Linked DNA regions of Schizosaccharomyces pombe. Changing the gene in region 1 together with any one later gene gives a genetic interaction. Each region holds a gene or a part of one and is shown in the gene's direction. Other genes may lie near its edges. The genes, in order: dga1 and plh1.

Region 1 (10,500 bases):
TAGGTGAATCACCATGTATCCAAGCTGTACGTATCCACGCAAAGTTAAGATTACGGAAACAACTTTGAAATATGAGGATTTGTCTGCATTTCCCTCTTTGTTCTGACCCATGTTGACCCAGAATTGGGCGAGACAAGTCTTCACATTGTTGAAACGCACAACAAACCCAGCAAGGAAGTTTATTTGTGTGTGTGTTCCACACCTACCCATTAGGTTAGGGTAGCGTGCGAAGCCATGGTAGGTAGGATGGTTTCATAGCTGCATCACACATTGCAAAAGTAGAACTTGTTTTCAAACTCTAGTGTTGAAAGGCAGCTAATAAAATTTTTGTAGCAAAGTCAAAACGCTCTAGGATGAGCAACGCCCACCCAAAGGCGGGGCTTTAAGTTTCAAAAAGAAAAGTGAAAATGCTGGATGGTGCAGAGGTTAAAAGATATATAGGAGCGGTATGGACGAAGCATGCCCCACAGTAATCAAGTGCATACAAATCATGTAGTGTGTGTTGTGGATCTTGTGGATCTTATGGGACACGAATGTTTTGAGGGGCAGGGAGAGAGAGGGGGAAAAGAAATGAGAGTGAGTGATTGAGGAGAAAGAGAAAGAGAGAGAGAGAGGATAGAGTGATTAATAAAGATTAGAAAGGTTAGACAGGTTAGATAGGTTAGTGAAGATGAAGAAGGAGGAAAGCAAAGATGAAAAGAGGATAAAAAAAAAGATAGTGAAAAAAAAAATATTAGGACGATAGTTTAGTTAAAACATTGTTAGTACATAGTTAGTAGATAGCTAGGATCACAGGGAGAAGCAATTGGAAAAAAAAAGACTTGAGATGCTGTAGATAGATAGAGGCGAGTAGAGTTGGATGTGAGGGAGACATCAAGCTCATAAGTTGGAGGACTTTTGAATGGACTAACACCTGAATGTCAATTCAAATTCACTTTGTTGGCCATTACATTCACCTCGTTGGTCCATTCACATTCTAGCTTCAAGTGGTAAACGTACTGCCTGATGCTGGAGATAGCTTGTCATGAGGAGGAGGAGGATGATGCATACCTTTCCAAAAGTAGCGTAGAACGTGCAGAAATCGTTGGACGTGTAAGAATTAACTTTGAATCCATTGTACCTTGGTCCCACATCAGGTGGCGACAAGAAGGAAGCGAAATGAAGAGAAATGAAGAAAAATAAGAGGATGGGAAATGAAAGGAAGCGAAGCGAAATGAAATGAAATCAATTTTAGGAAAAGTAAATGATAAGCCATGACACCAAGAAATCCTAGTAATTATGATTCCCTCTTCGACTCATCGATTTTCTCATCCACTCTTTTTTCATCTTCCTTGTACCACTCGGCATTCGATTGTTCGTTCGGTATTTCCTTCACCATTCAGCCGCCCATAGAGTACATAGTGCTATCAAAGCCTTGTTTCTTTGCAATCACTCCCCTCCTTACACTACGATGCAATGGCATAGCATGGCATGACAGCCTAGACATGACAATCTGGGTCAGTACCGTTACATCCCTTCCCATCTCTCACTGTCTCATTGTCTCTCTCTCTCTCTCTCATGCCTTTCCAAGTCTGTTCTACTCTGCTCTTGTCTTGTCTTGTCTTTCTCTCCTCTGTCTCGCATTCACACCCCGCATACCCTTTCATCTCCACAGTGTAGTTTGTAGCTACTTTGGTAGAGAGTGTTTGTCTCCTCTCTTTCCTTCTCCATACTTCACTTGTCATAATGGGTGATTTTGGGATGGAACGTGTGTGTCGGCCTACTTTCCCATCATCTTCGCATCCTTGGCGCTTCCATCCATGCGTCGTTACTTGTCCGTTCGGTAAAACTGTCAGCAAGGCAATTTTGTGGAGTATAACAAAAGATGGGGTATGGGAGAGTGTTCCCATTTGTATTGTCAAATTTTAGCTACTCCGACGTGCGCCAATCAGAATGCGTGTCTCCAAGCGCAAGAGTGGGCATTTCTGCGTTCCCCTCTTATTACACCCTACTTCATACACTTAACCCCGCATCCAAGGTATGGGCAAGATGGGACGTTTGTTGGTATATATTATAACTGCAAACCCGGTCTTTTCCTTCGTCCAACAATCGGTTTTATCCATCTCTACACTACATTACCTTCCTTATCATCGTTAATTCCTTTGTCAGGTCTTGCGTCCAACTTTAGCTGTCTGTGTGTATCTTTCTCCCTTCAGCGATTGTTAGTAAGTTAATTCCCTTTCAACCTTTGTGTTTTTTTTAAAAACTCTTTTTTTTTTCACATTCCCATCTCGATTGCTTTATTTTGCTTCGAGTAGTTTGTGTTTTGTGCCTTTTTCGATTTGTAAGGAATCGTTCATCTTCCAAATTTCCATTCATTCTCTCTCATTCCTTTTGTTTGAGTCTTGTATTTTGCGTATTCGCTCTCCCTCTCTATATACCCTTCTCTTAAACTCATCTGTCGTTTCTTTTTTTTTTTGCCTTTTTAATTCCAAACATCTTTTTTAAAAGAAAAAAAAAGAAATCTTATACCCTTTTTAAGAAAAACAAACAAGCAAGCAAGCAAAAATACTTTACTAGCTTGTTCAAAAAATTTCTTTTTCACTGTTGCGTTATAACGATAGTTAAACTTCGGTTTCGGTTCTATTTTGGGCTTTTGTCTTGTCATTGAAAGCTTTTTGTTGTCTTTTAACCCTATTTACAATCAAACCCTTTATATCTTTTTTTATTAATTTTTCTCCTTCCATTATATTACCCTTTTAATCGTAATTTTCAAAAATGGGAAAAAATTTGACCATTGTCATGTTGGTCTTCGTGTCCATGGCCGGATGGATGTTTGGCGCCGATACCGGTTCCATTGGTGGTATCACCAACATGAGAGATTTCCAATCTCGTTTCGCAGATCGGTATAATCCGGTAACAGATTCGTATTCGTATTCTTCGGCGCGGCAAGGTCTAATTACTGGTATGGTTAACGTTGGTTCTTTCTTTGGTTGTTTCCTTTCTTCCCCTCTTATGGATCGCATTGGTAAGCGTACCTCTATTATGTTTTGGACTATTGTTTATTTGATTGGTATTATTCTTCAAGTTACCGCTGTCCCATCTTGGGTCCAAATCATGGTTGCTAAGATTTGGACTGGTCTTTCCATTGGCGCCTTGTCTGTGCTTGCCCCCGGTTTCCAATCTGAGGTTGCTCCCGCCGATCTTCGTGGTACCATTGTCACCACCTATCAATTGGCTGTCACTGGTGGTATTTTCATTGCCGCTTGTATCAACATGGGTACTCACAAGTTGCACAAGACTGCTCAATGGCGTGTATCCATGGGTATTAACTTGCTTTGGGGTATCATCACCTTCATCGGTATTTCTTTCCTTCCTGAATCCCCTCGTTATTTGATCTCTGTTGGTAGAGATGAAGAGGCTCTTCAAATTATGGCCAAGAACAACGATCTTCCTATCGAACACGAAGTTATCCAAACGGAATACCATGTTATTAAGTCTGATTGTGAAGCTGAATTGGCTGGTGGTCCCGCTACTTGGCCCGAAATTTTTGGTCCCGACATTCGTTATCGTACCTTCCTTGGTCTTGGTGTCATGTCTCTTCAACAACTTACCGGTGATAACTACTACTTCTACTATGGTTTCGAGGTGTTTGAGGGTACTGGTATGAACTCTCCTTATCTTTCTGCTTTGATTCTTGATGCCGTTAACTTTGGATGTACGTTTGGTGGTCTTTTCGTCCTAGAGTTCTTTGGTCGTCGTATGCCATTGATTATTGGTGCTCTTTGGCAATCCATTACTTTCTTCATTTACGCAGCTGTTGGTAATCGTGCTCTTACTCGTAAGAATGGTACCTCAAACCATCGTGCCGGTGCCGTTATGATTGTGTTCTCATGTCTTTTCATTTTCAGTTTTGCTCAAACTTGGGGTCCTGCCGCATACGTTATCGTTGGTGAATCGTATCCCATTCGTTATCGTTCCAAGTGTGCTGCCGTCGCTACCACTGGTAACTGGTTGTGGGGTTTCCTTATTTCCTTTTTCACTCCCTTCATTACCAACTCCATTGGATTCAAGTATGGTTACATTTTCGCTGCTTGTAACTTGTGTGCTGCTTGTATTATTTTCTTGTTTGCTCATGAAACCAAAGGTCTTACCTTGGAAGAGATTAACGAACTATATATCTCTGGTGCTAAGCCCTGGATGCCTAGACCTAAGAACCTTGGTAACTTCACCAAGCAACAAGAAGAGGTTCGTGAAAAATCCCGTGGTGTTCAAGGCGAAAGTGCCGCTCATCTTGAAAACGTTGACGGTGAGGAAGGTATTGAGGACTCTAGCAATGACATTAGTTCCACAACATCTTCGGATGGCCGTGCCAAGCCCGAATCTAGCTACCACGATCAGGAAGAACAATTCGCATAGATTGCTGATTGATAACAACAATATTTATAAAAAGCTTAAAATGCGCTTATTTTAAGCTTAATGTTTGTCGTGGTTCGTTGATTCCTGTTGTTGTTTTTTATTATATCCCTGAAAATTTCTGATGTTTGTTAGGAGTAGCGGTGGCATTTTTTAAAGATTGGAACTAATTTATTCTTGTCTCACTCGCTGCATTTGGAAGATAAATGAATGAATACCCAGAAAGGCATACGGAAAGTTTTTGTCTCATCATTTCATGCTTTAAATTTAATGTTGGTTTGGATTTATTTAATTTTCCTAGCTTTAGTCGATTGTGGCTCTTAATAAGTGAAATGAGCTTTGGATTTCTTAAAAGTCTCTTTTCCCTTGCTGTCTTTTTACAATTTATTCCAATGGTCGTTACTGTATTGAATATATAATATGTTTTTCCAAGTTTTTGTTTAACAAAAAAATATTTTTTTTGCATCTTCTTATCCTATACTTACCTTTTGTGTTGTAAATTTATCGTCATCGTTAGAGGATAAAAAAGTTTCCAAAACAGTATAAATATATATATATACATAAATACAGGTAAATGGTCTAAATCAGTATGTAAGCCAATTTTTCAAGTTTGTTAAAAATTTGAATGAGTAAGGTGATTAGAGGAACGGAATTATGTATACATAAACACACACACATTATACATATATTGAGATATGTTATTGCAGCTTGTGCAAAGTTGGGATGAGTTAGCGTAGTCACCTTTGCCAATGTAATCGTTGAAGAAGTATCTATGACATTTTCTTTAAATTTTCAAGATTATTTTCGTTTTTCAAAACGGTGATTATAAGTAATAAATTAAAAATTTTAATTATCGATAGTAGTCAATACCAGAAAAAATTGAATCCATGGGTAGTGATTTAATTAATATGCTTGCCAAAGGTAAAGATAACTTAATTGGAATCCATAAAAATGTTAAAAGTAAGAATGTACACTGCCTTCTAAGTTTAAACCACCACTCTCGTCTATCATTTTACTATGAACCGCACATAGTTTAAGATAGCAACATTTGAAATTATGTTTCTACAAAGATTTGAATAAGTCATTGTATAGTGTACGTCAAAAAAATGTTAAATGTTTAAAGTTTCCATTAAGTTTTCTAAAAATGGTTTGACTTGCTTGCAAAGGGAAAAGTGTCTTTCCAATATCTGACTGTCAATGAAAGAGGCTTCATGAAGTGCTCAGGGCAAGCCGGAAAATTTGACCTAAATGCAGATAATTTTTTCATTCATGCTTTACTTATTTAAAAAAATTGTTACATATATACAAAAAGATCATGCGGTGTAAAAAGGAGATGTTAGTAGGAAGGTAAAGGTATCTTGGATAAAGAAGCGGATGACATCAAATTAACACTAGCCATCCGCCAACCACAATTTCAAGGAAATCTTAGAAAACTGTTCGTTGAAAAAGTTAACACGATTATATAGAACGGGAATGTCAGAAGAAACATCAATTCCCGGAATCATAGCTTCTACTCCACCTATTTCAAAAGATAGTAGACGTAACGTCAGTCACTGGCTACAAGCGTTAGCGGTATTCCTTCATAGTGTCAGTCTGACATTAACGGCATCTTGGTATACAGTTTTATGGGCTTTCCTCCCATTTTGGCCTGTAAGTGAGCATCTTTTCTGATGTTACAATATCAATGATTTCTGAAAGTGAAACTTCATTTGCAAAATGTATCGCGATTCGAATTGCTGAAAAAAGGCGTTAGGTATCTCATGTTTGTTCGATGATACTAAGTACTTTTCGGTTTTCGGACTACAAAAATAATCCGTCTCGCTTCCCTTTCTCAAATGTTGAAAACTGATCCATCTATTTTTTTTTACAGTCCATTTTACTAATCCTTCATTCCTTTAGTTTTTAATTGTTTATTTGATTTGGTTAATATATGACGATGGGTTTGTAACAGGAAAAGATCGGCAAAAACGTTGGCTGCGCAATGCTCCCCCTTATCGTTGGTTTTGTCATTACTTCCCCATTCGTCTGCATAAAACTACTGAGCTTGACTCTGAAAAAAATTACATATTTGGATATCATCCACACGGAATTATTTCGCTTGGTGCATTCGGTGGTTTTGCTTCGGAGGGTATGTTATGATGGAGAACCCGGAAATTAGAGGCTACTCTACATCAGTGTTTTCCCTTTTAATTCCACACATAGTTTTCTTATTTAATTTCTAACCTTATGCTATTAGGGGCCGATTTTAGTAAATTATTTCCTGGCATCAACGTTTCTGTCCTGACCCTTAATTCTAACTTTTATGTGCCGGTTTACCGTGACTATCTCATGGCTTTAAACATCAACTCAGTATCCAAGAAATCCTGTGTTAGCATTCTTTCCCGTAAGCCAGGTGATAGTGTTTTGATTGTTATCGGGGGAGCTCAAGAGTCTCTTTTGTCCCGTCCAGGTCAAAACAATCTTGTACTTAAAAAGCGTTTCGGGTTCGTTAAGTTAGCTTTTTTAACAGGATCCAGTTTAGTCCCTTGCTTTGCTTTTGGAGAGTCTGGTAAGATTGAATTTTAGTATTTTTAGATAGCTTAAAAAGTCGTCGAATTACTTTGATGTTGTTTACTTTAGTATCTTGCTAACCAACACAAGACATTTTTGAACAGGTTGATAACAATCCGCGTACTCGTATCTACAAATTTCAAGAAATTGTCAAAAAAATTGCAGGATTTACAGTCCCCTTTTTCTATGGTCGTGGACTATTAAACAAAACTTTTGGGTTGATGCCTTGGCGTAAACCTATTAACATCGTTGTTGGAGAGCCCATCGATGTTCCTAAAAAGTCTCACCCCACAAATCAAGAAATCTATGAGGTTCATGAAGAGTACATCCGAAGACTTGAAGGCTTATGGAACAAATACAAAGATGTGTTTTTACCAAATCGTATTAGCGAATTGAAGTTGTCAGCCTAAATTAATATGAAGAAGTCTTCACATAAAATAAGAGCAGTTTCTTATTGGCCTATGCAATATGTTGTGAGATTTTATATCATTAACGATTTCTTCTTTTCCTTCTTTAGAGCAGTTTATAAGCTATATTTATTTTGCAAAAATTTACAATATAATGTTTGAGGCACTTTAGACTTGTTTATTTCTGTTCCCTTCTTCAATTAAATGTAAAGGCGGTTGCTTTCATGCAATCGTCTTATCATGCTAAGTAAAAATCATGCAGCAAGCCATGAGACGATAATTTCGTTTGTGACTAAAAGACGACGCAGCAGTATGCAATAGTATATAAATTAGATGGCATACTTGGCGGGGAGTATTAAATCGAAGGCATGGGCTTTGCCGCCTTTATTAAATAATTCAGTAAGTCTTAGCGATCGTTTACATTTGATGAGTTGACAGGGTTTGTAAATTCAAACAAAGAGTAAAAGTTACAGCCCTTTGAGGTATCTGATCAGGTTTAATATTGGTACACTGCATGCTATAAAGGATAAATGGAAATTATCTTTGTCTTACTGATTCATAGGTATTCACAATTACTTCAAGCGTTACTAATATTCATTCAGTAATTAGAAGAAACGATTTTTATTGGAGGCATTTTCACAAATGGTTCGAAGGTTCAGACCTGCAATAAGTTTAATTAATTCAAGCAACCATGTACGCCCAATGTTTCCTATTGTCTAATTGGAAATTAAAGTGAGTGTTTTTTAACGGAATTTCAAGTCGTGCTTTACTAACAAAATTCCTTATATGAGGAACGAGGAATTTACTATATAAGCATTTTTAAATTGTTCGCAGATTCGGTTCTAAAAAAAAAAGAGGCCATTTCTTCTTAGCTATTGCTTTTCTAGTATTAACCCAATTACTGTAGTTTCGAAAACGAGCAAAAAGGTCTATAAAACAAGTGTAGGGAGTCGATCTCAGACTGCAAATCGCTAAATTTCAAAATTTGATAAGGGTAGAGTCTTGTGAGAAGGAAAATAGAATTGTCGAATATTTCAATAGCATCCTTAAACCAAAGTTAAAAAAAAGTATATATATCAAACTAAAAGCGTACCTGCTAATTGCTTGAAGCATTCGATGTTCAACTCATAAGCTTTATGGACACACTCTACGATGGTTAAGCATGTGATCTTCATACGACGCTTTGCTTCCCGCAAAATCAATATAACTATTAAAAGATGTATAGAGTGATGGGTGTAGTACTCTAAACATACTGGAATAGATTATATGTGAACTAAGGAACATTCGAATAGATCATCTTCATAGCAAAATATTCATTTGGCAGTTAATTAAAATGTTTATGAAATTACAAGATGATCAATAGTAATTATGCTCAAGAATAGGCTCAAAGATGAAGAGGTGCATAATATAGTGTAAAGCACTATGACTCTTGTGTTCGAATTTCATTAACAATACTACCCTATGTACGTTACGTTGTCACCGATAGATGTAATGTTTGCAAATCCGTTGTATTCAAGTCACCAAGGCAAACTATTTACTACATGTGTCAAAACAAACAATATAAAAATATTATAAATAGAGCTCCTACTGAACTGAGGAACGAAGTTCAGTCATATGCTATATTAGGGATAGGTATGTTATACTCAGTTGCTACTCATACTACCTGCGTATCGCAATATAATAGATCACAAGGAAACCCAACACAGTTCTATGTATTGTTAAAACAAATACCAAACTGCGTAGCTGACATGTTATTGCGATAACATTTCGTCTATCTAAGTCACAATATTTTATTATGCTGTTCATTATTTTGTAAACATTGAAATTTGTTTGAATTGAACCAGTAAACAGAAGAAAAAATGATGATTAAGCTTGATTCATTAAGAATCAGGATGAAAGAGAAATGAATGCAATAAACGACAATGAAATTGTGAATACAACAAGGAGGAACAGCGAGTTTTCCAATTTCATTAGTTGATGATAACAGTCAATTAGTGAACTGCTATTTTAAAACGAATAAATAAAACCATTATTTTAATATTCAATTCCCAGTGTATGTTATCCAACATCGCAGAATCTTTCAAGCAATGCACTTGCTCATCCATTTCGTCAGGAAATGAAATCATGCAATAAAAATACATCTGAAATACTCTAAACACATCATGATTTGTTTGGTAAATCACAATTATATAGATGCTTCTTTCCATTGCACATTCTTGTAGAGAAGTTTCGTGAGAAAAGCGCCTTTATAAATCAATAGTAAAGTTAGCAATATAATTAGGCTTCATTTTCAGGGTTCATCTCACGTAACGGAATAGCAGTGTATTCATTCACGTGTTGTCTGGCATCACGATCTAAAAATAATTAGTAAACACATTTAAAGTACACTTCTTTTTATCATCTTTACCGCAAGTTGTTGCAAGTCTGGTCAGTAAATGCGTAGAGCAAGATCCCGGTTCCACTATGTTGTCAGTATTAATTTTGTTTAGTAAACAACAAACCTGTTTCAGCAATGAATATGAGAATGCTTGATACAGCCATGAAAGTGAAAGCGGATGCCGAGCATTTCCATCCCCATTGTTGATCACCTAAATGTGAACTCAATTTGTTTACACCTTTTAATAAAACCAAGCAAAAAATAGAACTTTTACAAAAAGCAAAAAACATGTTTCTCCACTTCTTTAAAAAGTGCTTGATTCCTTTTCCGCAAGCCTTGACACATTGTGCCAAGAAAATTACAGTTACTTTAACTGCCTTGGTCCAAATTTCATAGAAGTCTAATGAGTTAGTGACTGAAGGTAAGAATAACCCCATCGTCTCACTTACAAGTCAAGAATATTAAAGCCAAAGTGCAAACAAGACACCAAAATCCAAATAATGTCCATTCCGCTGCACCATAATTTTTAAAAAAAGCGTCCTTATACTTTAGATAACAAACTGCTGGAGCATTGAATAGAATGATTGAAGTGAATGATATTAGCAGTTTTATCAACAAAGGGGAAGAATTATCTGTCGACCTGGAAGGATTGTTTTCTCTATGTGTGTTAGGAGAATTGCTTAAACGTGCATGATCTGTTTAAATTAATATGATTGAAAGACTTTAGTTAAGAAAAAGCATGTATCAAAGTGTGTGCATTGCATGGCCAAC
Region 2 (13,060 bases), on another chromosome or scaffold:
TTACATTTGTCTCAAACGTACAACCTGGCAGGTTAGCGAAAAAAATCAACACAAACACTTCCGTAAGGGACATTAGATCGTTCTTACCGTGTAAAGCAGCACATTGGCGCATTTCGCTTTTTCCAAATATACATGCTATCTCCATGAGTGCATCCACGTCGTCCTTTGAATTAAACATGGGGAAACGTTTAGTAAGGAAAGATAACAAAATAACCCCAGCAGACCAAATATCAACTTTGGGTGATTGAGATGAGCATTTAAACAATACTTCAGGTGCTCGAAATCCTCGAGTTCCGGCTCTATTGGCCCGTTTGCTTGGTCGAGTATCGTTTTTTATGTATCCAAGAGATGTTTCCTGCGCAATCGAAAAATCATGTGCTAATTCGGCCGCATTTGAATTAGTGCACCGGCAAGAATGTGATTGTTGTCTTCCATCATAACGCTCTGCTAATCCAAAGTCAACTAAGACACCATGCTTGGTACGAACATCGAAGAGAAAGTTACTAGGCTTAATGTCTCTATGAATGATTCCCAAAGTCTGAGTTTGCTGCATAGCTTGAAAAAGGCATCGAAAATAAATGCTCATATCGCGATAGGAAAAAGTGCTATAATATTGACGAAAGTCAGTATGCTCGTAGTAGGGTAAAACTACGAGTACCTGATCTTCATTTCTTAAAGCAGTTATTAGCGGGGCTATTACCGACGATCCCCTTAATAAATATAGGATTTCTAATTCATTGTATATTCTAGCAGGACTACTTGTCGCGTAAATTTTTTTTATAGCAACGTACTTCGGTTTCCGGCTGTCTTCATTAACAGGAATTTTTTCTTTTCCAAAAGAAGATTCCTTTAACACTTCACTTTGAATGTCCCAATCATTAATATACCTCCCATAATGTAGGTCTTCCGCTTTATATACACTGGAGAACGTACCTAAACGAATTAGCAAGATAGTTTCAAAACAGTACTAAAAACGGTAATTGAAGTTTACCTTCTCCAATTTTTTCAATTAGCCGATAGTTCTCTTGTAGCTCTACGAACGTCCTTGTGATATTTTCAATTTCTTCGCGGTCTCGTGCAGGGATATCTTGAATCATTTCTTGAGATTTGTTTTCGTTTACATTTTCATCGTCCACCTCAGTGATTTCACATTCAGAATCAATATCTGTTTGTTGTTCATGAGTTACTTTAGGTGATAGTGTGATATGGGCCTCTGCCATGTTAACGGTTTAACTCATATATTTTTAAACCAAATAATAACTTAAAAAAAATTAAAAGAGTCGTCAATTAAATGGTAAAATGCTGCCAAGGGAAGGAACCAAGAAAAAACAAATTTTCACGTATTTTAAACCTTCAAACCGAACACGCGAACGAATACTAAGATTCAAAAAAATCAAGTTTTTAAAATGTGTAACACAAACTCATTCCATGAATATAAGAATTTGCAGATTCCAGGTTCAACACCAGTTGTACATTGTTAAGCAAAATGCTCTTCTAATGAGGGACATTGTTACTTCCAAACAAGAAAAATACATTTTTAATCCAACTTTTGTTTAATAAAAAAAGTACTCTGCTATAATATTTGTATACTTATGGAAAAGATTAAGATTTCATGTCCTTTATCTTTTTTTAAATTTAGGACTTGCTTTAAAAAACATAAATCCTTTGGGCTCTTGTTATTGTTAATAACCACCATAAACAACTAGAATTGACTATTTATTGGACATTGAGAGTAAATATGATTAACCATGGTATTCAAACACGTTTTTTTTTTCTGTTATTTAAAAATAAATAAAAAAATTATCCTGAATTTGAAATTTATTCCTAGTTAAACTACGATAGGTTTTCTGTTTAGTTTATTGTGTATTACTTTAAAATTCTAAAAACAGCACAAATGCTTACCTCGTCAAAATTTGCATTCATAATAATTTTGAAAATCACCTTGAAAATGATACATGCGCCAAAATAAATTATAAGTTTTTATATCAGAAATACAGCTCAAGAAAGAATTTACAACTAACGTTATTCAAAAAATATATTAAATTCTTTTCAAAACATTTAATTAGAAGTACTAAAAAGAACAATAGCTTTTACGTGGCACGCTCAATAAAAGTTAATTAAAATATTATTTTTTAATGTAAACAAATGAGTTAATAAAAGCACGTTCTATATCCTTAAAGTGGTTAGCAACAATTAAGTCTAGCTCCTATTTTATATTTTGACTAACCGTAGCTCTTTTTTGTTAGTAAGAAAGTATAAATGGACCCCCACACAGGACATATAGGTGGGGTTATTGTTTACAAGGACTACTAGAATGTAGTACGCCAAATCCATCTTTTATTTCATTCGTAACATAGAAAGATTCGGCTTTCAGTGGCCTCAATGTCGTTGGATCTTCTTTCTAGATTAAAGAAATACATTCATGATGAAGAAAATTCCGACTTGGACTCGATTTATGCTGAATGTGAAAATGCTGGATTGACAGCCGTGGTTAACGGTATGGACATTTGGGTTTTTAAAAAAATTGAAAATGATCGATTCCACAATAACTAACAATGAAAAATTAGACGTCATTGATACCCTTTTATTAGGAACGAGTTCTTGTTTCGACGAGGATTGCTTGGAAAAACTCTTTGCTATATGTTCGTAAGTAGTTGTTATTTTGTGTTATTCAAATAGAAGGAAGCCATTTGGTTTACTATATATCAATTTTACCAAACTAACAATAATGGTTTAGACACTTTGCTGACCTCTCTTCCTCTGTAAGGAATAAAGTATATGATTTACTCACGAGTAATATCAGCTCTGAATCCGCTATTCTTGAAGATATGATTTCCGCAAATGCTACTGATTTTACTGTACCTCAAACGAATTTAGAAACTACAGGCATTGCATTTCAGCTCACGGTCAATTCCCTTTCTTCCTCAAATCAACTTTCAGTTATTCGGTCATCCACTAATACTGTTAAGGGAAGAAAAAAAAATCCAACTACTAACTCTAACTGGAATGGTATCTCACATGTAAATGCTTTGTTAGATGCAATCATAACATTATTTCAAAAAAAATTATCTCGTGTATGGACTACTTCTTCGGAAAGAGACATGTTTCTTTCACTTTTCCTAAAACCAATATACACGTTAATGGAAAGTGAAATTAACATAAAAAATGCTTCTTTCCGTTCTCGTTTATTTAATATTATCGGGCTTGCTGTTCAATTCCATAACCATACCACTGCAGCGGAGACAAATATTATTCAAAATTTACAATACTTTGAGCATTTATCTGAGTATGCTGCTGATCTTGTTCATATTGTTACCGTTCAGTTTAATTCCGTTACCTTGGCTGAAGGAATTATTCGAACATTGTGCTCTCTAGAATTTAATGATAACGATGTTAAAGGTCCCAAGCAAGTCGCTTTGTTTCTTGTCCGTCTTTCTTCACTTATTCCAAACTTATGTTTGAAACAGCTTACTCAATTAGTTAAGCTGCTTGATTCGGAATCATATACTCTGAGATGCGCTATCATAGAAGTACTTGCTAATGTGGTCATTGATCAAATTCATGATGAGGCTCAAAATGAAATGTCAGAGTCAGTGCCAGCAACTGTTCAAAGCTTAATGGATCTTCTCAGTGAGCGATTACTAGATATAAGCCCTTACTGTCGTACTAAAGTACTTCACGTCTTTATCAAAATATTTGATTTACCAATTAAGTATCCCAGAAAACGTCAAGAAATCGCGGAACTCGTGATCAGATGTTTGCAAGATCGGTCAAGTCATGTCCGCCGAAATGCAATTAAGTTATTTTCTAAACTTTTAACTACCCATCCTTTTTCAGTTATGCACAATGGCTTACTAACCAGAAATATTTGGGAGAAAGGATTATCTATCATCGAGGAACAGCTTAATTCTTTACAACCAAAGCAACAAGAAAAGGTGGTAGATTCAGAGCTTGAAGTCGATGAAAACTTATTAGAGGATGCTACTATGATCCAAGATGATGAGTCACATGAAGGAGAAAGTCACTTGGAAAATTCTCTAAGCGAATATGTCGATTCTGTTCCTGCTGAGGAAATAGTCAAAGTGAATTTAACGAAACGGTTTTATTTAGAAGCACTCCAATATATAGACATTGTGGAAGCGGGAGCAAAAATAATAAGCCAGTTGTTGTTTGCTAAAAATAAGAGCGAGGTAATTGAGTCAATGGATTTCTTTGTTTTTTGCAATTCTTTTGGAATTTCGTCTTCAAAATTATATATAAAAAAAATGATTCATTTAATTTGGGTAAAAGGAACCTCCGACGAAGGGAACAACATTCAGAACCATGTATTGTCATGTTATAAAACATTATTTTTTGAGCCACCTCCGAACTCTGGTACCAACGAAGCCGCAAACTATATTGCGAGAAATCTTATTTCATTAACATATGATGCTAGCCTTGCTGAGCTTACATCACTTGAACAGATGCTTTGCATTTTGATGAAAGATGGGTATTTTTCACATCTAGTCATAACAAAACTATGGCAAGTATACAGTTATCAAAAGAAGGATATATCTCGAACACAACGTAGAGGATCCATCATAGTAATTGGAATGCTAGCATTAGGCAATACCGATGTTGTCATGCAGGGCTTGGATCATCTTATTCAAATAGGACTTGGTCCCCCTGGTTTGGAGGATTTAGTTCTTGCAAGGTACACATGTATAGCGATTAAACGTATTGGCAAAGATGCGTCTGGTTCTTCTAATATTAATTTTCCAAATTCGCATACGCTTTGTCAAAAATTATGTATGCTTTTACTTCGACCATCGTTCTCTGAAGAGTGGTTTGGGTTAGAAGAGCAAGCTATTGAGGCTATATATGCAGTTGCCAAACATCCTGACGAACTTTGTACCAACATTATTTTGCTTTTGACGAAACAACTCTTCAAACCTTCCAATCATGAGAATACTACCAGTAACGATGATCATGCAATGGACGAAGATTTAGATGATTCTCCAGAAGAAGAAACATTAAAAGATGAGGAAGAAATAGGTATACGACTGGCGCACTTAATATTTTTAGTAGGCCATGTCGCGATTAAACAATTAGTCTATATCGAATATTGTGAGGCAGAGTTCAAACGGCGAAAAGCGGACGCCGAGAGATTGGCCGTACAGAACTCAAATAATCCTATAAATGGGCAAGAAACTTCTGAATATGATTTAATTACGGGAACAAGTGAAGATGATTTTTCAGAAGCAATGACATTTATTCGTGAAAGGGAGTTGCTCTATGGTGAGAATTCTTTACTTTCGAGATTTGCTCCATTGGTAGTAGAATTGTGCTCAAATCATAAATCGCACAATAATCAAAGCCTTTTACTAGCTGCTTCTCTGACTTTGTCCAAATTTATGTGTCTTTCTAACAATTTTTGTATGGAACATCTTCCATTGTTAATAACCATTCTGGAGAAATGTGATAATCCGATTATTCGAAACAACTTAGTAATCGGGTTAGCAGATTTAACTGTTTGTTTCAATCATTTTATTGATGAAATATCCGAATACTTATATAGAAGACTGATGGATGAAGAGTCTTCTGTCAAAAAGACATGCTTTATGACTCTAGCATTTTTGATTTTAGCTGGTCAAATAAAAGTAAAGGGCCAGCTGGGTATTATGGCTCGTTCTTTGGAAGACGAAGATGCTCGAATTTCTGATCTTGCTCGAATGTTTTTTACTGATTTTGCAGCCAAGGATAATTCTGTATATAATAACTTTATTGATATCTTCAGTGTATTATCTAGAAGTGCAGAGGAGCAGGATGAGGACGACGCTAAGTTTAAGCGTATCATTCGTTTCTTGACGTCCTTTATTGAAAAAGAAAGACATACCAAGCAATTAGCCGAACGTCTGGCTGCTCGTCTTGATCGGTGTAAAACTCAACGTCAATGGGATCATGTGGTGTATGCACTTTCTTTGCTTCCTCATAAAGCCGATAATATTCAAAAGCTCATTGACGATGGATATCATGAATAAAGTCAATTCTAATGCTTTATCTTACATATTCAAAATCCTTTGTATATTAGTATTGCCTAATTAAAAAGAAGAATGACGGTATACCTTTTTTATAACGAATTGAATGTTAATAACTATAACTTCATTGATCTACAACACCCATTATTTGCAACAATTAAACAATTCAAGCGCAAGTTAAGGTAATTTAGTTATTAGCTAAGTAATTTGCACATTCTAGCTGGGTCATTAATTATTTTTTGTGCTTATGAAGAAGATTTAACTTTACCCTAGAAAACTATTCACCTTCATTAACTGCTAAGTAAAACTGAGGAACTCTTCTCAATTTTAGGCTGTATCAAATATTGGTAAATTACATACTTGAACAGAGATCATTTTTTGGAACTGTCATCATCCTCTCAGGCTAGAAGTTTTGATAATAAATATAATCGGCATATACTGAGTATAAGTGCATTGTAACGTAACTCAGTTTAACTAGAAATAAGGTATTTCAAACTTTTAGACACTAAATCAAAATACAATTGTAGAAGGAAACCGATATTAAACGTGTTTCTAAAGCAACTTAACGCTCACTTCGTTATCACTCCTGCTGTAGAACTATGACAGTAAGGACTTCGCTTACTTATCGAATGTTTGGCAGTTGCTGCTCAAGCAATTCATATTTTAAAGTTAACTATGGCGTCTTCCAAGAAGAGCAAAACTCATAAGAAAAAGAAAGAAGTCAAATCTCCTATCGACTTACCAAATTCAAAGAAACCAACTCGCGCTTTGAGTGAGCAACCTTCAGCGTCCGAAACACAATCTGTTTCAAATAAATCAAGAAAATCTAAATTTGGAAAAAGATTGAATTTTATATTGGGCGCTATTTTGGGAATATGCGGTGCTTTTTTTTTCGCTGTTGGAGACGACAATGCTGTTTTCGACCCTGCTACGTTAGATAAATTTGGGAATATGCTAGGCTCTTCAGACTTGTTTGATGACATTAAAGGATATTTATCTTATAATGTGTTTAAGGATGCACCTTTTACTACGGACAAGCCTTCGCAGTCTCCTAGCGGAAATGAAGTTCAAGTTGGTCTTGATATGTACAATGAGGGATATCGAAGTGACCATCCTGTTATTATGGTTCCTGGTGTTATCAGCTCAGGATTAGAAAGTTGGTCGTTTAATAATTGCTCGATTCCTTACTTTAGGAAACGTCTTTGGGGTAGCTGGTCTATGCTGAAGGCAATGTTCCTTGACAAGCAATGCTGGCTTGAACATTTAATGCTTGATAAAAAAACCGGCTTGGATCCGAAGGGAATTAAGCTGCGAGCAGCTCAGGGGTTTGAAGCAGCTGATTTTTTTATCACGGGCTATTGGATTTGGAGTAAAGTAATTGAAAACCTTGCTGCAATTGGTTATGAGCCTAATAACATGTTAAGTGCTTCTTACGATTGGCGGTTATCATATGCAAATTTAGAGGAACGTGATAAATATTTTTCAAAGTTAAAAATGTTCATTGAGTACAGCAACATTGTACATAAGAAAAAGGTAGTGTTGATTTCTCACTCCATGGGTTCACAGGTTACGTACTATTTTTTTAAGTGGGTTGAAGCTGAGGGCTACGGAAATGGTGGACCGACTTGGGTTAATGATCATATTGAAGCATTTATAAATGTGAGTCTCGATGGTTGTTTGACTACGTTTCTAACTTTTGAATAGATATCGGGATCTTTGATTGGAGCACCCAAAACAGTGGCAGCGCTTTTATCGGGTGAAATGAAAGATACAGGTATTGTAATTACATTAAACATGTTAATATTTAATTTTTGCTAACCGTTTTAAGCTCAATTGAATCAGTTTTCGGTCTATGGGTAAGCAATAAATTGTTGAGATTTGTTACTAATTTACTGTTTAGTTTGGAAAAATTTTTTTCCCGTTCTGAGGTATATTCAAAAATACAAATGTGCTCTACTTTTTCTAACTTTTAATAGAGAGCCATGATGGTTCGCACTATGGGAGGAGTTAGTTCTATGCTTCCTAAAGGAGGCGATGTTGTATGGGGAAATGCCAGTTGGGTAAGAAATATGTGCTGTTAATTTTTTATTAATATTTAGGCTCCAGATGATCTTAATCAAACAAATTTTTCCAATGGTGCAATTATTCGATATAGAGAAGACATTGATAAGGACCACGATGAATTTGACATAGATGATGCATTACAATTTTTAAAAAATGTTACAGATGACGATTTTAAAGTCATGCTAGCGAAAAATTATTCCCACGGTCTTGCTTGGACTGAAAAAGAAGTGTTAAAAAATAACGAAATGCCGTCTAAATGGATAAATCCGCTAGAAGTAAGAACATTAAAGTTACTAAATTATACTAACCCAAATAGACTAGTCTTCCTTATGCTCCTGATATGAAAATTTATTGCGTTCACGGGGTCGGAAAACCAACTGAGAGAGGTTATTATTATACTAATAATCCTGAGGGGCAACCTGTCATTGATTCCTCGGTTAATGATGGAACAAAAGTTGAAAATGTGAGAGAATTTATGTTTCAAACATTCTATTAACTGTTTTATTAGGGTATTGTTATGGATGATGGTGATGGAACTTTACCAATATTAGCCCTTGGTTTGGTGTGCAATAAAGTTTGGCAAACAAAAAGGTTTAATCCTGCTAATACAAGTATCACAAATTATGAAATCAAGCATGAACCTGCTGCGTTTGATCTGAGAGGAGGACCTCGCTCGGCAGAACACGTCGATATACTTGGACATTCAGAGCTAAATGTATGTTCATTTTACCTTACAAATTTCTATTACTAACTCTTGAAATAAGGAAATTATTTTAAAAGTTTCATCAGGCCATGGTGACTCGGTACCAAACCGTTATATATCAGATATCCAGTACGGACATAAGTTTTGTAGATTGCAATTAACTAACTAACCGAACAGGGAAATAATAAATGAGATAAATCTCGATAAACCTAGAAATTAAAAATCATTTACTTTAAATAAATCGACAAACGAATATGATAAATAAATTGTCTTTAATAAAAAGCATCACTATCATTCAACCAATCATGCCTCTTTCAAAAGTTCCTGTTTTATACTAATAGCATTTTTGCAGGATCTTCAATATATTCCTTTACTAAACGCAAGAAAGTAACTGCTTCACGACCATCAACCATTCTATGGTCATAAGTAAGAGCCAAATACATCATCGGCCTTGGAACAACTTGGCCGTTGATAACAACAGGTCGTTCCTTAATGGCATGCAAACCCAATACAGCTGTTTGAGGAAGATTGATAATAGGGGTACCATAGAGGGAGCCAAAAATACCACCATTAGAGATGGTGAAAGTTCCACTAGCCATGTCCTCAATAGCTAATTTGCCAGCACGCGCTTTTGAACCCAAAGTTGCAATAGCACTTTCAATTTCCAAAAGGGACATGCTTTCAGCATTACGAATGACCGGTGTAACTAAACCTTTAGGGGTAGCAACAGCAATGCTGAGATCACAAAAGTCGCGATAAACAAGAGTATCACCCTTTCCTTCACCTTCTATGGAGCCATTGATTGCAGGAATTTGCTTCATAGCTTGGGTGCAAGCCTTAGAGAAAAAACTCATGAATCCAATTTTAACACCGGTTTCCTTCAAAATTTCATCCTTGTATTTCTTACGGAGGGCGACCACAGCAGACATGTCACATTCGTTGAAAGTAGTGAGAGAAGCCGCACGATTTTGGGACTCCTTAAGGCGCTCAGCTATACGAAGACGCATGCGATTCATTTTAACACGATCCTCATTACGGGAAAATGAGGAAGGACGAGCGGTCTCTGTAGCTTTAGGCTTACTTTGTTTAACTGGTTCGGATTTGGCAGGTTTAGGCTTAGGAGAAGAAAATTCAGGTTCTTTGGCATCAGGAGCAGGCTTAGTAGAGGAAGGTGCAGATTCCTTTTGTTCAGCACCGAGGTCAGGCATGGGTTTCTCTTCAATGGGTTTAGAAGAATCTTGAGGAGTTGAAAGGTCCTTAGCTGCATCGGCATCTGCAGTTTTGACTTCATCTTTCTTTGGACCGGCACTACCGCCTTCAGGAGGAGCGGCACTCGTATCAATGACCGCAATATCCTGATCAATGGTAATAGTGTCACCTTCTTTAACGAGTTGTTCCTTTAAAACACCGGCATCAGGAGCTGTAACGGGGGCATCAATTTTATCAGTTTCCACACTCGCGATTTCCTCATCCTTGTTGACATATTCTCCAGGTTCTATCAACAAAAGTCAGTATTTATAATAGCAAAAAATCTTTTTTTTATGAATCAACTTACGTTTTAACCATTGTGCGAGGGTACCTTCCGTAATAGATTCAGGAAACGGAGGCGTTTTAATGCGTGTACTGGCTAAAAATATAGTTAATGATTTTTGAAATTGAAACAACATAAGAAAAAGTAAATCCCGAAGATACTGAGTGAAAGGAAGAAAACATAGTTGAGAATTCCTATTCATGTGTGAATATGACCTTGTGAAGAATTATTTAATTATTTTGAAATCAACAGCGTCCACTTGATTCAAAATAAAGTTTAAGACAGATGCACTTAGCAAAAGTTGATTCTTATGAGCAAGTTGAGTACTAACATATATATCCCGTCTCCTTTAACAAACAATATCTACATCATGATCAACAACACATACCATAACGGGCCCAAAGGACGTTGGCCATGGATTTAGACACTGGAGCAGTGACTGAATATCCTGAACGTAGAGATAAAAGACATTTCGCCATCATGCGAAAGCCATTGCCGTAAGAAGTCATTATGATGGTTTTTCCGTAACAAGTAATTTACTTCAATCTTGAATAAAGACAGCACAAGAAAAAACAAGAAGAATGTACGAAAGCCAAATCAACTAACAGTGGCTTGCTTATTTTGTATTATTGCTAGAGGGGGTTGTTGTATGTGGTAGAAGGTAAATATGCTACACCCTTATAAACACTGTAATATATTATATGGAGTATGAGTGCACGGTAGTGCTTTGAACCTGTAGAATCCTATTCGGTGTGTGAAACCAGTATGACCTATGGTAGGCCATTTATAAAACCTTATTAGGAAATGTAGCTGGGGGTAGTAAAGAGATTTGATGAGAGTCACTGTATTTCGTTAAACATTGTTTAGAAAGGATTTGGAATAATAAAGGTTTGCTACAATACACTAAATTGTAATAGTGTGATGTAAAGACAGCAAAAATGATAAACTATTAAGGATCAATATATGAAGTTGTTTTAAAGTTGAATTCAAAAAAATATTTATCAATTTCGGTTTTCTCCTTTTTTTACATTGACATTTTGCAGATATCCAAAAGAATAAAAATAGTATTGAAAGGTGTGGGACTCGAACCCACGAGCTTTCGCACTAGTGCCTTAAACTAGCTCCATAACCACTCGGACAACCTTCCTAGTTGTACGGTTCTATCCATAGACGAATATATACAGTAAAAATAAAAAATATTTGAGCTGTTATTCATACGAATGAATTATTATTATGAATTAATACCTCATATATACATTTGATATTGAACATTGTAATTAGTTTCAAAGGCATATGACTTTTTGGGTCACTGCCGGAACAATATCAGTCGTAAGGAAATGCATTGCTTGCCCGCACACGAGCATTAATGAATGTTTCCGCTAATTTGCAAGATATTCGCTCTGAACTTACAGAATGAATAAGTATGGTTTAGAATTAGAAATCACATTGGTTTCGCAGCTTGAGAGAAATGTTTGTTTTACATTGTAAATAGTAAGCTTATTTGTCGCGCGTTTATTGGTATTGCTATTTCTATATATAGAAAAAAAAAACATTTTCCTAATACTTCATCTCATCTAGCTCTAATATATCGAAAATTCCTAGAAACCCTTTTTTTGCGATCAAAACATTCAATTAAGCTACATAAGTTGTATTCTACAAAATGTCAGCGGTTCGCTGTATCAAATAAATAGTATATATAAACTCTATACCTCTTTTGTCTTTATCATCCCTTTAATCAATTCCTAGGTTTTTCATTGAAGACATTTTTTGCAAGCACCTACAGTATATATATCGTTGATTTTATTTACCTTCTTCACTAACCAATTTTCTTGAGCCTTAACACCTAAATGAAGCAATTATTGAAAAGTTGGATTTATCCAAATCTCAAAACTTTGTTAAACTTCATTTTAACCTAAAGTCATATCTTTAAAAAGATAAATCGCATGGCAAAATGTTGGAACAAAGTGAATCGCACGCGTTCATAAATAATGCACCAAAAGAAGATCGAATCCAAGTGAAATTTGAACAATTATTTGAATCTCTTCCTTTGCCATTGCGAGCTGAAGAAGCATTGAGTAAACTAAGACATGATTCTGCAAGATTGATGATATTAAAAACTTCAGATCCTACGTTAAATATGTCGACTTATAGTATAGAGGATTCTCCGATGGGCTTTGAATGCTTAAAATATAATTTAAGTGACAATAATAAATTACTTTCACAAAATAATTACCGATTACCAGACTATTTAGAAGAGGATGAAATAGTCAGCTATACTTTTTCAAAAACCGGTCCCACTACTTCAAAAAACAAGCATCCATCACATTCTAATACAATTAGATCACCTCCTTACAAAGTGAAAAAAGAATCATGTCATACAGAAATCAACAACGTGTCTAATGTTTCTACGGAAAGTATCAACGTTATTGATGCATCGAGGGGTTACTCGCCTTACACATCAGTGGATTCTCTTTCTGTGAGTAAAAACCGTTCTTTCATATCTCTTGAAGAATCAGCAAGTAACCAATATGATGCTGCAGAAGCTTTTTATTTTAATGCAGACTCATCCTCACCGTTGAGAAAACTTAGCCCTATAGAGCTTCCTGTGACTCCAATAAGACGCAAAACCCCTACAATTAACCCAAACTCAGAACTTAAAAGACTTCAAACTTTTGGAAAACTGATTTTGCATAAGGGAAGTCGTAGAAGGTAGTGAGTCCAATCGAACAAGAAGTATACAATAAC

Evidence for each region.
Region 2: of dga1 (region 1) and plh1, changing one enhances a phenotype caused by changing the other (phenotypic enhancement), as found in Schizosaccharomyces pombe (2 studies listed by BioGRID).

What each region holds. Positions count from the first base shown.
Region 1 is NC_003421.2:209,556-220,055, forward strand, and holds dga1 (diacylglycerol O-acyltransferase Dga1), read left to right. Parts: upstream 1-5,788; 5' UTR 5,789-5,868; coding exon 5,869-6,045; intron 6,046-6,294; coding exon 6,295-6,523; intron 6,524-6,631; coding exon 6,632-6,943; intron 6,944-7,035; coding exon 7,036-7,355; 3' UTR 7,356-7,544; downstream 7,545-10,500. Other genes in the region: SPOM_SPCC1235.17 (uncharacterized protein), read right to left, coding at 1-210; SPOM_SPCC1235.18 (uncharacterized protein), read left to right, coding at 1,254-1,733; plasma membrane high-affinity glucose/fructose:proton symporter Ght5, read left to right, coding at 2,758-4,398.
Region 2 is NC_003423.3:3,197,756-3,210,815, forward strand, and holds plh1 (phospholipid--diacylglycerol acyltransferase Plh1), read left to right. Parts: upstream 1-6,644; 5' UTR 6,645-6,692; coding exon 6,693-7,676; exon of another isoform or gene 7,677-7,721; coding exon 7,722-7,791; exon of another isoform or gene 7,792-7,845; coding exon 7,846-7,873; exon of another isoform or gene 7,874-7,917; coding exon 7,918-7,945; exon of another isoform or gene 7,946-7,993; coding exon 7,994-8,077; exon of another isoform or gene 8,078-8,116; coding exon 8,117-8,356; exon of another isoform or gene 8,357-8,390; intron 8,391-8,397; coding exon 8,398-8,544; intron 8,545-8,589; coding exon 8,590-8,796; intron 8,797-8,820; exon of another isoform or gene 8,821-8,845; coding exon 8,846-8,913; exon of another isoform or gene 8,914-8,961; coding exon 8,962-9,004; 3' UTR 9,005-9,113; coding exon of another isoform or gene 9,114-10,279; 3' UTR 10,280-10,339; coding exon of another isoform or gene 10,340-10,411; 3' UTR 10,412-10,480; downstream 10,481-13,060. Other genes in the region: Dbf4(Dfp1)-dependent protein kinase Hsk1, read right to left, coding at 1-24, 88-933, 992-1,220; condensin complex non-SMC subunit Cnd1, read left to right, coding at 2,383-2,497, 2,568-2,646, 2,738-6,020; kgd2 (dihydrolipoyllysine-residue succinyltransferase), read right to left, coding at 9,114-10,279, 10,340-10,411, 10,704-10,824; protein Mis20, read left to right, coding at 12,267-13,028. UniProt on the Schizosaccharomyces pombe protein: Catalyzes triacylglycerol (TAG) formation by an acyl-CoA independent pathway. The enzyme specifically transfers acyl groups from the sn-2 position of a phospholipid to diacylglycerol (DAG), thus forming an sn-1-lysophospholipid.